Pelodiscus sinensis: one gene and its partners. The protein of the gene in region 1 interacts with the protein of each later gene in a pairwise test. Links are inferred from orthologs where the notes say so. Each region holds a gene or a part of one and is shown in the gene's direction. Other genes may lie near its edges.

Region 1 (3,743 bases):
GCTGTTCTCTCTTCGCTGTCAGCGGGAGCCTGTCTGTCGTGCCTCATGTTAGAAGCAGGCGCCAAGCGGCGCTGCTCATAGGGTTGTAACCATAGGCGTGTGCAGCACATTTCATTAGGGTGTGCACCCAAAGAATTTTGACCCCCATTAGCCACACCCCTGACTCCCATTAGCCAGACCTCTGGAGGTAACACTCTCGGGGCAAGATGGGCTCATGACCAGATGTAAAAGGTGTCACGTGACCCACCATCTTCCTACCAATAGGGATTAGTTTGGCTCCCACCAAACCCCCCTCATGCAACTATTCTGCAGTTGCATTACCCCAATTTGGGTCACATTAACTCGGAGGCGGAGAGGCTGGAGGAAGTGTCCCCTCTAAGAGTTTCCTCCCATGAGCAGAATGAATTTTGTGTTTTGCACCAGTACTGAGGTCATGTGGCTTGTTTGCATGTGCCACCGTGGCACCCAGGTTATTAATAAATATCATATGAACCTCGACCTTTTCCCTCTGCTGCCATGTCTCCCCCCTTTGCTCCATCAGCTCCCCTGGTGCCTGCTGCCCCCCAACCCCTCATCCTCCTCTGCTGTTCTGACTCCTGCCCTTCTCACTGCCCTCAGCCCTCTAGGACCTGCCCCCCTCCACCATACTGACCCAGTATGGCCGTTCTTATGTTCTTATCTTCTTAGTGTCACCGAGCCAGGTTTGAAGCAGGTGGGGTGTTGTGTAGACAGGCCCTGCCTGACGGCCTGTGTGTTGTGAGGGCAACCAAGCCCGAGCCCTGCCCGGGCCCTTTCACTGTGCTGTCACACAACTCAGAACCCTCACCGGCCAATCGCCACGGGGCACCTGCGCTGCTCGTGGAGGCAGTAACCAGGGTGCCCACCGGAGGTCTGAGAGCATTTCTTCCCGAGGCCTGAGCAGAGGCAGCGTGTGTGCTCAAGGCACAAGAGTACAGGCCCATTGCCATGGGGATGTGCAGGGGGGTCGCCACCCCAGCCTGTTCCCTCCTCAGCCAGACTCTCAGCACTGAGCTGAGCGGGGTGCTTTTTGTTTAGGCCTTGCACTTCCAGCCTCCCCTGGTAGGGGTAGAGCTCCTTTCTCCTGTGCTGCCTCTGGCTGGCTGCCTGCTCCTCACCCCTCTCACCAGCTCCCTGCACAGAGGGAGCAGTGGGTTCCAGGGGCACAGGAGGGGCCTAGAGCGCTGCCCTCTGGCTGAAGTCAAACATGGGAAAAGCTCCCAAGGTAGGGAGGCGCCTGCCCATCAGGCATCAACATTCATCCATATTGATAATTCCTTGTGGGGGAGAGAGGGCTGGTTACTTCCTAAGTTTTGTGCCTTTACTGGGCCCAAATTGTGTGTGCTTCAACCTTCTGTGCATCTCCAGAGATGCAGGCGCTGGTTAATCTCCCCGACTCCTGGTGCGAGCGTGCTGCCTGTGTATGCCTACACTGCCCCCACTTCATTATTGCCCTGTCCCCCTTCCCTCCCTGCTTCTCTCTCCCACCCAGTCTCCTGCTCTCAATTCATCTGCCAGCCCATATGTTCCCTCTTTCAACCTCACCGTCTTCTATCCATTCTCTACCCTTTCTCCTCCATTCCCTACCTTTTCTGGGTATGTCTACACTACCCCCCTAGTTTGAACTAGGGGGGTAATGTATGCATACCGAACTTGCTAATGAAGCCCGGGATTTGAATTTCCCGGGCTTCATTAGCATAAAGCCGGCGCCGCCATTTTTAAAAGCCGGCTAGTGCGAACCCCATGCCGCGCGGCTACACACGGCACGGACTAGATAGTTCGGATTAGGCTTCCTAATCCGAACTATCTGTACACCTCAGTCTCCTTCCTGCACTCCAAACTTCCCACCCGCTCATGTTCTACCTTCTAACTCCACATTCCTTTGCATTCATCTCCGCCTCCCTCCTGCTCTCTGCTGATTAGCTCCCTGGTTGGCAGTTTCAGCAGAGAAGATGACAGGGCCGTACAAACTTTGATTCCTCCTGCCTGGAGGAGTCTACTCTGCTGGCTTGGCTGAGGCACATTGGCAGGGCATTGTTGGGGAAGCTGTGGGCTCTCACAGCTCCTTTTCCTGGGTTGTGAACTCCTCTTCCTCTGCATGTATTACTCCTGGAGGTAGAGTCCTGCAAATCTGCACATATCTGCTTTGTATCCATGGGTACAGGCGACTCTGCACTTATGACCTACTTGGTTTCTGAAGAACTGCCGTAAGTGAAGCTGTCATAAGTTGAATCCTTATTTCCCATAGGCGCAATCTTATAAATGGCAGTTCCATTCCTGGAAACCCATTTCATACCCTAAAAATGCCAAAGTTGACTACAGAAATGGAGGAAAATGAAACAAAATAGTTCAAATAATTCACAAAAATAACTAAAAAGTGAAGACCGGTGTGGCGCAGTTCAAGCAGCTGATGCAGACGGCGAGTCTGACTGACCGTGTACGTTTCCTGTTTTGGGATGACACGTGGAGTCTGCGTCATACGCCGTCGTAAATGAGAGCTGTAGAAGTAAATTGGGAGGTTTTAGGAGCTATCTTACATGGAAAGAAATGGCTGTAAATGCGGTGGGTCGTCAGTCGGGGGTCACCTGTATCTGCATCCACGGCTCATTTTGCAGTTACAAATGCGGACGTGGATACAAATTTTGTATGCATGCAGCGCTCTGCCCATGGGAGTTACATGTGAATAAGGACAGAAGAGGAGACATCTATGAATTTACTTTTGCTCTGGGACTCAGCCAGTGGACACATTTACATCCATTGGAAAGACGCCTCTCTCCAAGTAGATGCAAAATATGCAAGCTCAGCTTGTTTGCAGAGGGTACACACCTGAGCCTTTAGAACAGAGCTGGAGATGTGGATTGGTGGGAGGCAGAAGATCTGCATCAGGGAAGAACAAATGCTGAAGTTCCTTCTGCTTGTGCCTGGCAGGTAGTGGAGTCACCCTGTGGAGCGGATGAGGCTGCACGAACTTCAGAAACCAATCACTGGCACCTGGCGCACACTGGGAAGGAATCCATCTCCGTCACTCTGCATGGTGCCACCAACCTGCCAGCCACCCAGAAGGGCACTGTGCCATGGCCCTATGTCACTGTGTGAGTACTGGGGAAGTTTGCTTCTGGGCTTTGGTTAGAAGATCTGCTCTTGTAGCAAGGAGATCAGGCAAGGAGTTGAGACTGTGGTGCAGGCTATAAGCCTGGTCTCTGCTCATCTGTTTAGTTTTCATCTGCACAGTAATAGATTGCACTGGCAAGGTATCACAGGAGGATACATCTCTCCGACCTGAATGCACAGCGTGAGAAATCAGAGACACTGAGAATCTTGTGGGAGAGGAGCGTAACGTGCACAGAGATTTACCCCTGTTGTCAGAAAAAAATGATCTATGCAGCTCTCCGAGTGGAATGTCTATTTCTAACTTCCTTTTGTTCAAACCCTGCCTGTCACACCGGTGATTTGTGCTATGGAACGCCATATATATTTTATAGCAGCAATGTGAGGGGAGAGAGTGAAACACACTAACCCCTTGCAGCGGGGAACTAGCATATGATCAGACTGAAGGTTGCCGCATTCACACTCAGGTGGTCAGAGCTGCCACGTACCCAGGGGGTAGCCCCAGATGCAGTTTTGCTCAGTTGATGCAGCTGCCCAGACTTTGCATAATGAAGCAAATGAGGCGAAGTGTGGAATACTGCAGCGCATCATTTGCATAATTAACGAGGCTCTGTTTT
Region 2 (3,743 bases), on another chromosome or scaffold:
CTCAGAGACTATGGTTGCCACTTTTCTAATTGCTGGTAACTGGTCCCTTAGGGACCCGCCCCTGCTCCTTCCCCCAAGGCCTCTCCCTCTCTCTACCTCTTCCCTTCCTTACACCCTTCTCCTTTGGTTACTGGGTGGATCACCTATCCCCACCTCAGCTGTACTCCCTCTCCTTTAAGCTATGGCAGGAGCTGCTGCAGCTTTCAAGGATCCTGCCTGCAGAGAGGAGGTGGCCTTGGCTAAGCCAAGGCTGGCAGGGGCTAATGAGCTGGCGTCTCCCCCCACCCTGCAATAACTGGACTATTAGTATCCAGTCAGTACATCTAGCCAGACACTGCCAAGTCCCCTTTTCAACTGGCTTTCTGGTCAAAAAACCAAGCACCTGGCACCCCTAAAAGGCACCCAAATGAAGTCAACCCCTGGACAGGTGGCAACCCAATCAGAGACAGCGCCGCTCCTCAAGCGATTCCACCCCAGAAAGGGAGGAGCGAGGCAGGAGACACATGGGGCTTCCCGGTCAAACTCTGCAGCCGCAGCTTGTCAATATTCGCTTTGTCCTCCTGGCTAGCAGCTGGGGACTGGCCACAGAGGGGCCTCCACAGCCCCCCCAGACCACCAAGCCACCGCTCCCCGGCCCCCTGAATGCCCGGGCCCCGCTGTGCTCTGCAGAGGGGCAGGCAGAAAAAGATGGACCAGGGCCTGCTGGGCCAAGCCCCTCTGGGGGTCGTGGGGGCCAGGCCTGCCTGTGCAGCCACACAGCATGCTGGGACATGCCCCTCTCTGTGGGGGGGCCCCTGCAAAGCATGCCGGGACATGCCCCTCTCTGTGTGGGGGGCCCTGCAAAGCATGCCGGGACATGCCCCTCTCTGTGTGGGGGGCCCTGCAAAGCATGCCGGGACATGCCCCTCTCTGTGGGGGGGCCCCTGCAAAGCATGCCGGGACATGCCCCTCTCTGTGTGGGGGGCCCTGCAAAGCATGCCGGGACATGCCCCTCTCTGTGGGGGGGCCCCTGCAAAGCATGCCGGGACATGCCCCTCTCTGTGTGGGGGGCCCTGCAAAGCATGCCGGGACATGCCCCTCTCTGTGTGGGGGGCCCTGCAAAGCATGCCGGGACATGCCCCTCTCTGTGTGGGGGGCCCTGCAAAGCATGCCGGGACATGCCCCTCTCTGTGGGGGGGGCCCTGCAAAGCATGCCGGGACATGCCCCTCTCTGTGGGGGGGCCCCTGCAAAGCATGCTGGGACATGCCCCTCTCTGTGGGGGGGGGGGGGCTGCAAAGCATGCCGGGACATGCCCCTCTCTGTGTGTGGGGGGGCTGCAAAGCATGCCGGGACATGCCCCTCCGTGAGGCCGCAGGGCATGCTGGGACGTACCTCGCCCCTGTGCCGCGGGGCATGCTGGGAGGGGACGCGCCTCCCCGCTCCCAAGCCCCAGGTGCGGGGCCCGGCTCGAGACCCACCTGCTCCCGCGCTCCGCGGCGAAGCGGTCACATGACCTGGACGCGTCACTTCCCCTTGGCCCCGCGGCGGGTCACTTGAATTCGCCACTTCCGGCGGGCAGGTCACATGACCAGAGACGGCCGGGCGCCCTCCCGCGTCACGTGACCGCGATGCTGGCGGCGCTGCGCCGGGGGCCGGGGCTGCTGGCGGCCGCGGGGAGACTCTGGCGCGGGGCGCGCGGGCGGGGCCGGGGGGCGGGGCCCCTGCGGGCGCGGAGCGGGCCCGGCCCCGCGGGAGTCCTGGCCGCCCTGGCAGGTGAGACCCGAGGGGGGGGGGGCTAGTTATGGGGGCGGGGGGCCAGGGGGGGCTAGTTATGGGGGGGTGGGGGGGGCTAGTTATGGGGGCGGGGGGCCAGGGGGGGCTAGTTATGGGAGCGGGGGGCCGGGGGGGGCTAGTTATGGGGGGGCCGGGGGGGCTAGTTATGGGAGCGGGGGGCTGGGGGGGCTAGTTATGGGGGGGTGGGGGGGGCTAGTTATGGGGGCGGGGGGCCAGGGGGGGCTAGTTATGGGAGCGGGGGGCCGGGGGGGGCTAGTTATGGGGGGGTGGGGGGGGCTAGTTATGGGGGGGCCGGGGGGGCTAGTTATGGGAGCGGGGGGCTGGGGGGGCTAGTTATGGGGGGTCGGGGGGGGCTAGTTATGGGGGCGGGGGGCCGGGGGAAAGGCTGTTGGGGTCAGCTAGCAGGGAGCTGTCGGGGCCCCGGGACTGGCGGGGGGGTTCATGGAGGGGAGGGGCCTGGCAGGCAGGTGGGAGGAGACCGACACTGAGGCGGCTATTGGGGGGTAGCTGTGCTTGGCCTGTGGGAAGGGGGGGAGGGGAACCGACAGGGCTAGGAGGGGGCAGGCCATGAGGTGGAAGTCTGGGGGGGGGGCGTTGTTTGGGCAGGACTCTGGGGAATGGGAAACCTCTTTGCATGGGGGTGAGGCAGAAATGGGGGGAGGGGCTGTTACAAGTAAGTGGGAGAGGGCGGCAGCACTGGGTGGGTGACTCCAACAAGCTGAGCTGAACCTGCTGTTTGAAAGGCGAATCCCCATCCTGGGCCCAGAAGAACAAAACCCCTTCAGCTGTCTCCACACAGCAGCGCTCCTAATACAGGAGGCCCCCGACTTGTGACCGCCCGAATTCCGACCCCCCACGTTCCAACCCCCTTCACTTAGAACCGTTTTTTTAAGGGCAGAAGGGGCCGGAAACCCGATTTACGTCCTCGGCCTGCATTTGTGACCGGGCACGGTGCCTATCCTAAATGAGCATTCGAGTTACGACGCCCCCAACTTATGACACTTCCCAAGGAACCAATCACGTCGGAAGTTGGGGGCCTCCTGTACATCCCGTCAAATGTTTCTCTTCCCAGCTTTCTCCTTGTTCTCTAAAAATGCTGAGGAAGAGGAAAGGACCCGGGAAGGGGAGAGTGCAGGAACTGAAGACTCCATTATATTCCTTTTGAAAAAAGCCAAGGTGAGCTCCTGAGCCCCTGGAGAACTGCTAATTGTGTGTGCTGGGCCCCAACAGCTTTACTCAGTGACCAGGACTGCCAGCTTGTTACACAATTAACTTGTTACATACAGTGATGGCAGGGAAAGAAGCATGCTGGTGTGGTGGGGGAATTGCTGGGAACGTCCACTGCGACAGCTAATGGGAGGCCTGTTGTGAGATGAATTCAGGGCTCTCGGCCACCCATCCAGGTGGATGAGCCCATCCAGACTCGGTACGTAAGAGGCTAACTTATAAGCGTGAGCTACACGTGGCTCCAGCTCCTGGGGAGTGACCGCCCCGCGTTGCTGCCTCTGTGTCCCACGGAGCGGGGTAGCAGACAGGAGCCAGTGCGTGCTGGGAACTGTCTTTTAAGCCAGCTCCCTGCGCAGGCCAGCTCCAGCGGAGCTGGTTACTGCCCCTTGTGTAATCATTTAACCACTCACATTTTCAGCAGCTCCACGGTTAGCAAATGACTCTCATTTTAACATCGTTAGTCTAGATGCACGAGCAAGGGAGGGTGCCCAAGCATCAGCATTGAGGAGTCTTTAAGGCAGCCAGAGCTGACCTGCTTTTCCCAAGTCACTGATCAGGGCAGCATCTGGCAACGTGTGCTGGTCTCTCTCTGCTCCTGTGAGCAGCATCAGGCCAGGTGTGGTCACCTGCCCGGTGGTGCCCTTTCTTGGCCTGCCACTACGCTGGGCACACCTCCACCTGCCGGGGTCTCTAATCATCCTAGATTGTCCCTCCTCTCCCCTTCCAGCTCAGCATCATGAAG
Region 3 (3,743 bases), on another chromosome or scaffold:
AGCGAGCTCACATGCCCCAAGCAACAGTTACAAGCGCTGGCTTTCTTAAGAACGAAGGACTAAATATCATCGGATACGTTTTTATTACAAAACAACGGACACGAGCAGGCGATGCGCGCACGTCACGGCACTTCCCCACGAAGACCCAGGCGCCTCAGCGGAACGACGCGGCCCGCGTCTCCCCGTGGGGCCCAGAGTACGTCATACTGTCACGAAGTCCCAACGCGCCCCCGGGAGTGGCCCGACACGAGGCGGCCGAGCGCGCGTCCCCCTGCGGGGGCTCAGTTGACGCGGCAGGCGCGGATCATGAGGAGCTGGAGCAGGATGAAGACGGGCGACATGATGAGCCCGTACCACAGCTCGGGGGTCTGCTCCACCAGCTTCTGGCACAGCAGCATCTCGAAGACGAACTTGAGGCTGAGCAGGGTGAGGACCCAGAAGAGGCGCAGCACCGCCAGGCGCTTCTCGCCGTCCTGGAAGAGGCGCACGGACACGATGGCGGTGAAGTAGGTGCTGAGCCCGTCGGCGGCGAAGAAGGGCCCGAAGACCCCCCACCAGGAGAGCGCGGCGACCCCGTCCAGCTTCAGCACGAGCAGCAGCGAGAAGAGCGCGAGCGCCCCCGCCTGCAGCAGCAGCTCGAAGGTGGCGAAGCCCAGCCACTGCACCAGCTCCCGCAGCGAGAACAGCATGGCGGACCCGGCCCGGCCCGGCGCGCGCGGATGCCGTCACCGGAAGCGGAAGGAGCGCGCGGACGGCCGCACAGGTAGGCCGGGCGGGCGGCCGGGGCTAGGGGGCGCGCGGGGGGCGGGGCCTAGAGGGGACCCGGCAGCGCAGGTGAACGGGGGAGGTGGAGCCCAGCAGAGCAGGTGACGGGGGGGGGGGCGCATCCTGGTGTGGCCCCGGGGGGGGCAGGCAGGTTGCAGTGGGGCAGGTGAGGCCCTGGGGGGGCAGGCAGGGTGCAGTGGGGCAGGTGAGGCCCTGGGGGGCAGGCAGGTTGCAGTGGGGCAGGTGAGGCCCTGGGGGGCAGGCAGGTTGCAGTGGGGCAGGTGAGGCCCTGGGGGGCAGGCGGGGCCCAGTGGGGCAGGTGAGGCCCTGGGGGGCAGGCAGGGTGCAGTGGGGCAGGTGAGGCCCTGGGGGGCAGGCGGGGCCCAGTGGGGCAGGTGAGGCCCTGGGGGGCAGGCAGGTTGCAGTGGGGCAGGTGAGGCCCTGGGGGGCAGGCAGGGTGCAGTGGGGCAGGTGAGGCCCTGGGGGGCAGGCAGGGTGCAGTGGGGCAGGCGGGGCCCAGTGGGGCAGGTGAGGCCCTGGGGGGCAGGCAGGGTGCAGTGGGGCAGGTGAGGCCCCGGGGGGCAGGCGGGGCCCAGTGGGGCAGGTGAGGCCCCGGGGGGCAGGCGGGGCCCAGTGGGGCAGGTGAGGCCCTGGGGGGCAGGCAGGGTGCAGTGGGGCAGGTGAGGCCCTGGGGGGCAGGCAGGGTGCAGTGGGGCAGGTGAGGCCCTGGGGGGCAGGCAGGGTGCAGTGGGGCAGGCGGGGCCCAGTGGGGCAGGTGAGGCCCTGGGGGGCAGGCAGGGTGCAGTGGGGCAGGTGACCGGGAGCTGCAGCTCCTCTGTGCTTTATTGATTAGTTTTGCCTCCTCCAGATGGCGGAACGGAAGCTCCTCGTTCTCTTTGGCAGCCAGACGGGAACAGCTCAGGATACGGCCGAGAGAATTGGCAGGGAAGCCAAGCGGCGCCACTTTCACTGCAGGGTGGAGGCCCTGGACAGTTACCCTGTGGTGAGTGGGGGGCGGGGGAAGGGGGTAAAATGGATGTTGAGGCAGAGAAGAGCTCTGTGCAGATTCTGTATTGATCCCTCCCCACTGAGTTCCTTCCAGGGTGTGCTGGATGGCACCCTGCACCTGGGCCCTGGCTTGCATGCTGTCCCTCAGAGTCACCTACCTGGCACGCCTGCTGTAGTCTGCTGTAAAAGACTGAGAACCAGGGAAGGAGTAAAACATGCTTTTAGCTGCGTTCAAGCAAACTGGTGTCCCGGTGAGTTCAGTAGAGCCATTTTCTATAAGACAAAGAGCATGAGCATGTCCTGCAGAAATGAGAGCTGGGGTTTCTGTGGCCAGAATCAGATAAAACAAGGCACTTGCATCGTTCCCACAAAACACAAATGGGTCTTGCTAACACCTGTTGTCAGTAGGGCTGTCAATTAATGAAGGGCAGAATTAATGTGTTAATTTTTTTAATGTGAGTTAATCACAGACGTTTCTGCAATGCTGCCCCTTTGAAACTCTGCCACCACGTTTCAAAGGGGCAGCACAAAGTGGAGCTGGGGTCAGCTGGAGTCTCTAGCTGACCCCAAGCTCCATGCACGCTGCCCCTTTGAAATGCTGCTGTCATGTTTCAAAGGGGGAGTCCGGGGTCAGCTAGAGTCTTATAACAGCACAATTAATCGTGATTATTTTTTTAATCGCTTGACAGCCCTAGTTGTCAGTGCTGCGTGGGGGTGGGGGATGAGATGCTCTGACAAAGTGGGCCAGGCCCTTCTGAGGTCAGGGCTGTACAGATGTAAACCCCAGATCCTGCTGACGAGACGACCCATTCTGTGCCCACTTGCCTGTCTGTCCCAGAATGCCTCCCTGCTGGCACCTGTGCTCTGTGGCTGCACGAAGGGTTTGGGCAGTGCTGGCAGCAGATTTGTTGGACGGCTGGAGACACTAGACTGGTCAGTGCAGGTCACGCAGGAGAAAAGCGTTACTGCCCAATGGCCCATTGGGGCCTAGGAGATACGGGGGAGGCAGAGAACCCCAGGCCTCTGTACTTATTTCCTCAAGTTTTGTTTGTTGCTATTACTGTGAATCATTATCAGTGTTGTTAATCATACCCTCTGTCTGGGCTCTGGGCCATGCGTGCCATCCTGCTCTCTGCTGGTTGCTGATCCCACTCCTGTTAATTACCATTGCTGGGAGGGCTGGTCTGATCTGTTGCTCTGTTATAAATCCCCTCGCGGTCACCAGGACAGTTGGATGCGTGAGGCTGTGCTGTAGCTGGATGGAGAGAGTTCAGTGTGGCACCGCCACACGCACCTTTCCAAGCTAGGGGCATTCCTCGTCAGCTACCCGCAGGGGTCCCTTGCTGGAGAGCTGTGCAGGGTGCCCCTTGAGCTGCTAGGGGAAGGGCTGGTGGAACTGGCTTTCTGCCCCAGCTCTCTGGAGGAGAAGGCCCTCACGCTGCTTTCTCTAGGTGAACGGCAGTGAGCATCCACGCCCTGCACAGCGTGCCGGGGTTGTGACCTGCACCGGCATGTAGCGGCGACATGCGCATTACTGTGGCCAAACAGCCAGGGCTGTGTGTGCATGGGAAGGGTGTCTGGGCTGGGGGTAGCAGCATGCGTGCGGGGGTAGGGAGTGTATGTGTTGTACTGCTGTGGCTGGAGGGTGGGGGCATGCTGTGGGGTGAGGGGCTGTGCCGTGTCCTCTTGCGGGCAGCGTGTGGGTTTGGTTGTGTGGGTGAGGGGGGTGTGGGGCTGTGGCTATGTGGGGGGCTGTGGTGTGCGAGGGCAGTGTGTTGGGGCTGTGGTGTGGGGATGGGCTGTGTGCCGTTGTGGGGGGCAGCAGTGTCTGCAGCTGGGGCTGTGAAGGGAGTGATACTGGGGCTGGCTGTGCAGGTGGGGGAGGCTGTGTGGGGAGGCTTTACCAGTGGATGTTGAAGGTTGTTGGCCCTGATGGTGTGTGTCCATGCTTGTTGTGATGCAGGCACAGC

Evidence for each region.
Region 2: the proteins of CCDC33 (region 1) and TTC19 interact in a two-hybrid assay, tested with the Homo sapiens proteins (2 studies listed by BioGRID and IntAct). The two-hybrid records come from large-scale screens. The link is inferred for Pelodiscus sinensis from reciprocal best matches to the Homo sapiens genes CCDC33 and TTC19.
Region 3: the proteins of CCDC33 (region 1) and NDOR1 interact in a two-hybrid assay, tested with the Homo sapiens proteins (2 studies listed by BioGRID and IntAct). The two-hybrid records come from large-scale screens. The link is inferred for Pelodiscus sinensis from reciprocal best matches to the Homo sapiens genes CCDC33 and NDOR1.

The regions. Positions count from the first base shown.
Region 1 is NC_134724.1:39,170,477-39,174,219, forward strand, and holds the start of CCDC33 (coiled-coil domain-containing protein 33), read left to right. Parts: upstream 1-876; 5' UTR 877-1,225; coding exon 1,226-1,243; intron 1,244-2,946; coding exon 2,947-3,110; intron 3,111-3,743.
Region 2 is NC_134731.1:3,239,650-3,243,392, forward strand, and holds the start of TTC19 (tetratricopeptide repeat protein 19, mitochondrial), read left to right. Parts: upstream 1-1,572; 5' UTR 1,573-1,608; coding exon 1,609-1,753; intron 1,754-2,846; coding exon 2,847-2,950; intron 2,951-3,728; coding exon 3,729-3,743. Other genes in the region: ZSWIM7 (zinc finger SWIM domain-containing protein 7), read right to left, coding at 1,373-1,395. UniProt on the Homo sapiens protein: Required for the preservation of the structural and functional integrity of mitochondrial respiratory complex III by allowing the physiological turnover of the Rieske protein UQCRFS1.
Region 3 is NC_134732.1:2,440,178-2,443,920, forward strand, and holds the start of NDOR1 (NADPH-dependent diflavin oxidoreductase 1), read left to right. Parts: upstream 1-775; 5' UTR 776-866; intron 867-1,630; exon of another isoform or gene 1,631-1,633; coding exon 1,634-1,768; intron 1,769-1,867; exon of another isoform or gene 1,868-1,988; coding exon of another isoform or gene 1,989-2,024; intron 2,025-3,736; coding exon 3,737-3,743. Other genes in the region: TMEM203 (transmembrane protein 203), read right to left, coding at 282-689. UniProt on the Homo sapiens protein: NADPH-dependent reductase which is a central component of the cytosolic iron-sulfur (Fe-S) protein assembly (CIA) machinery.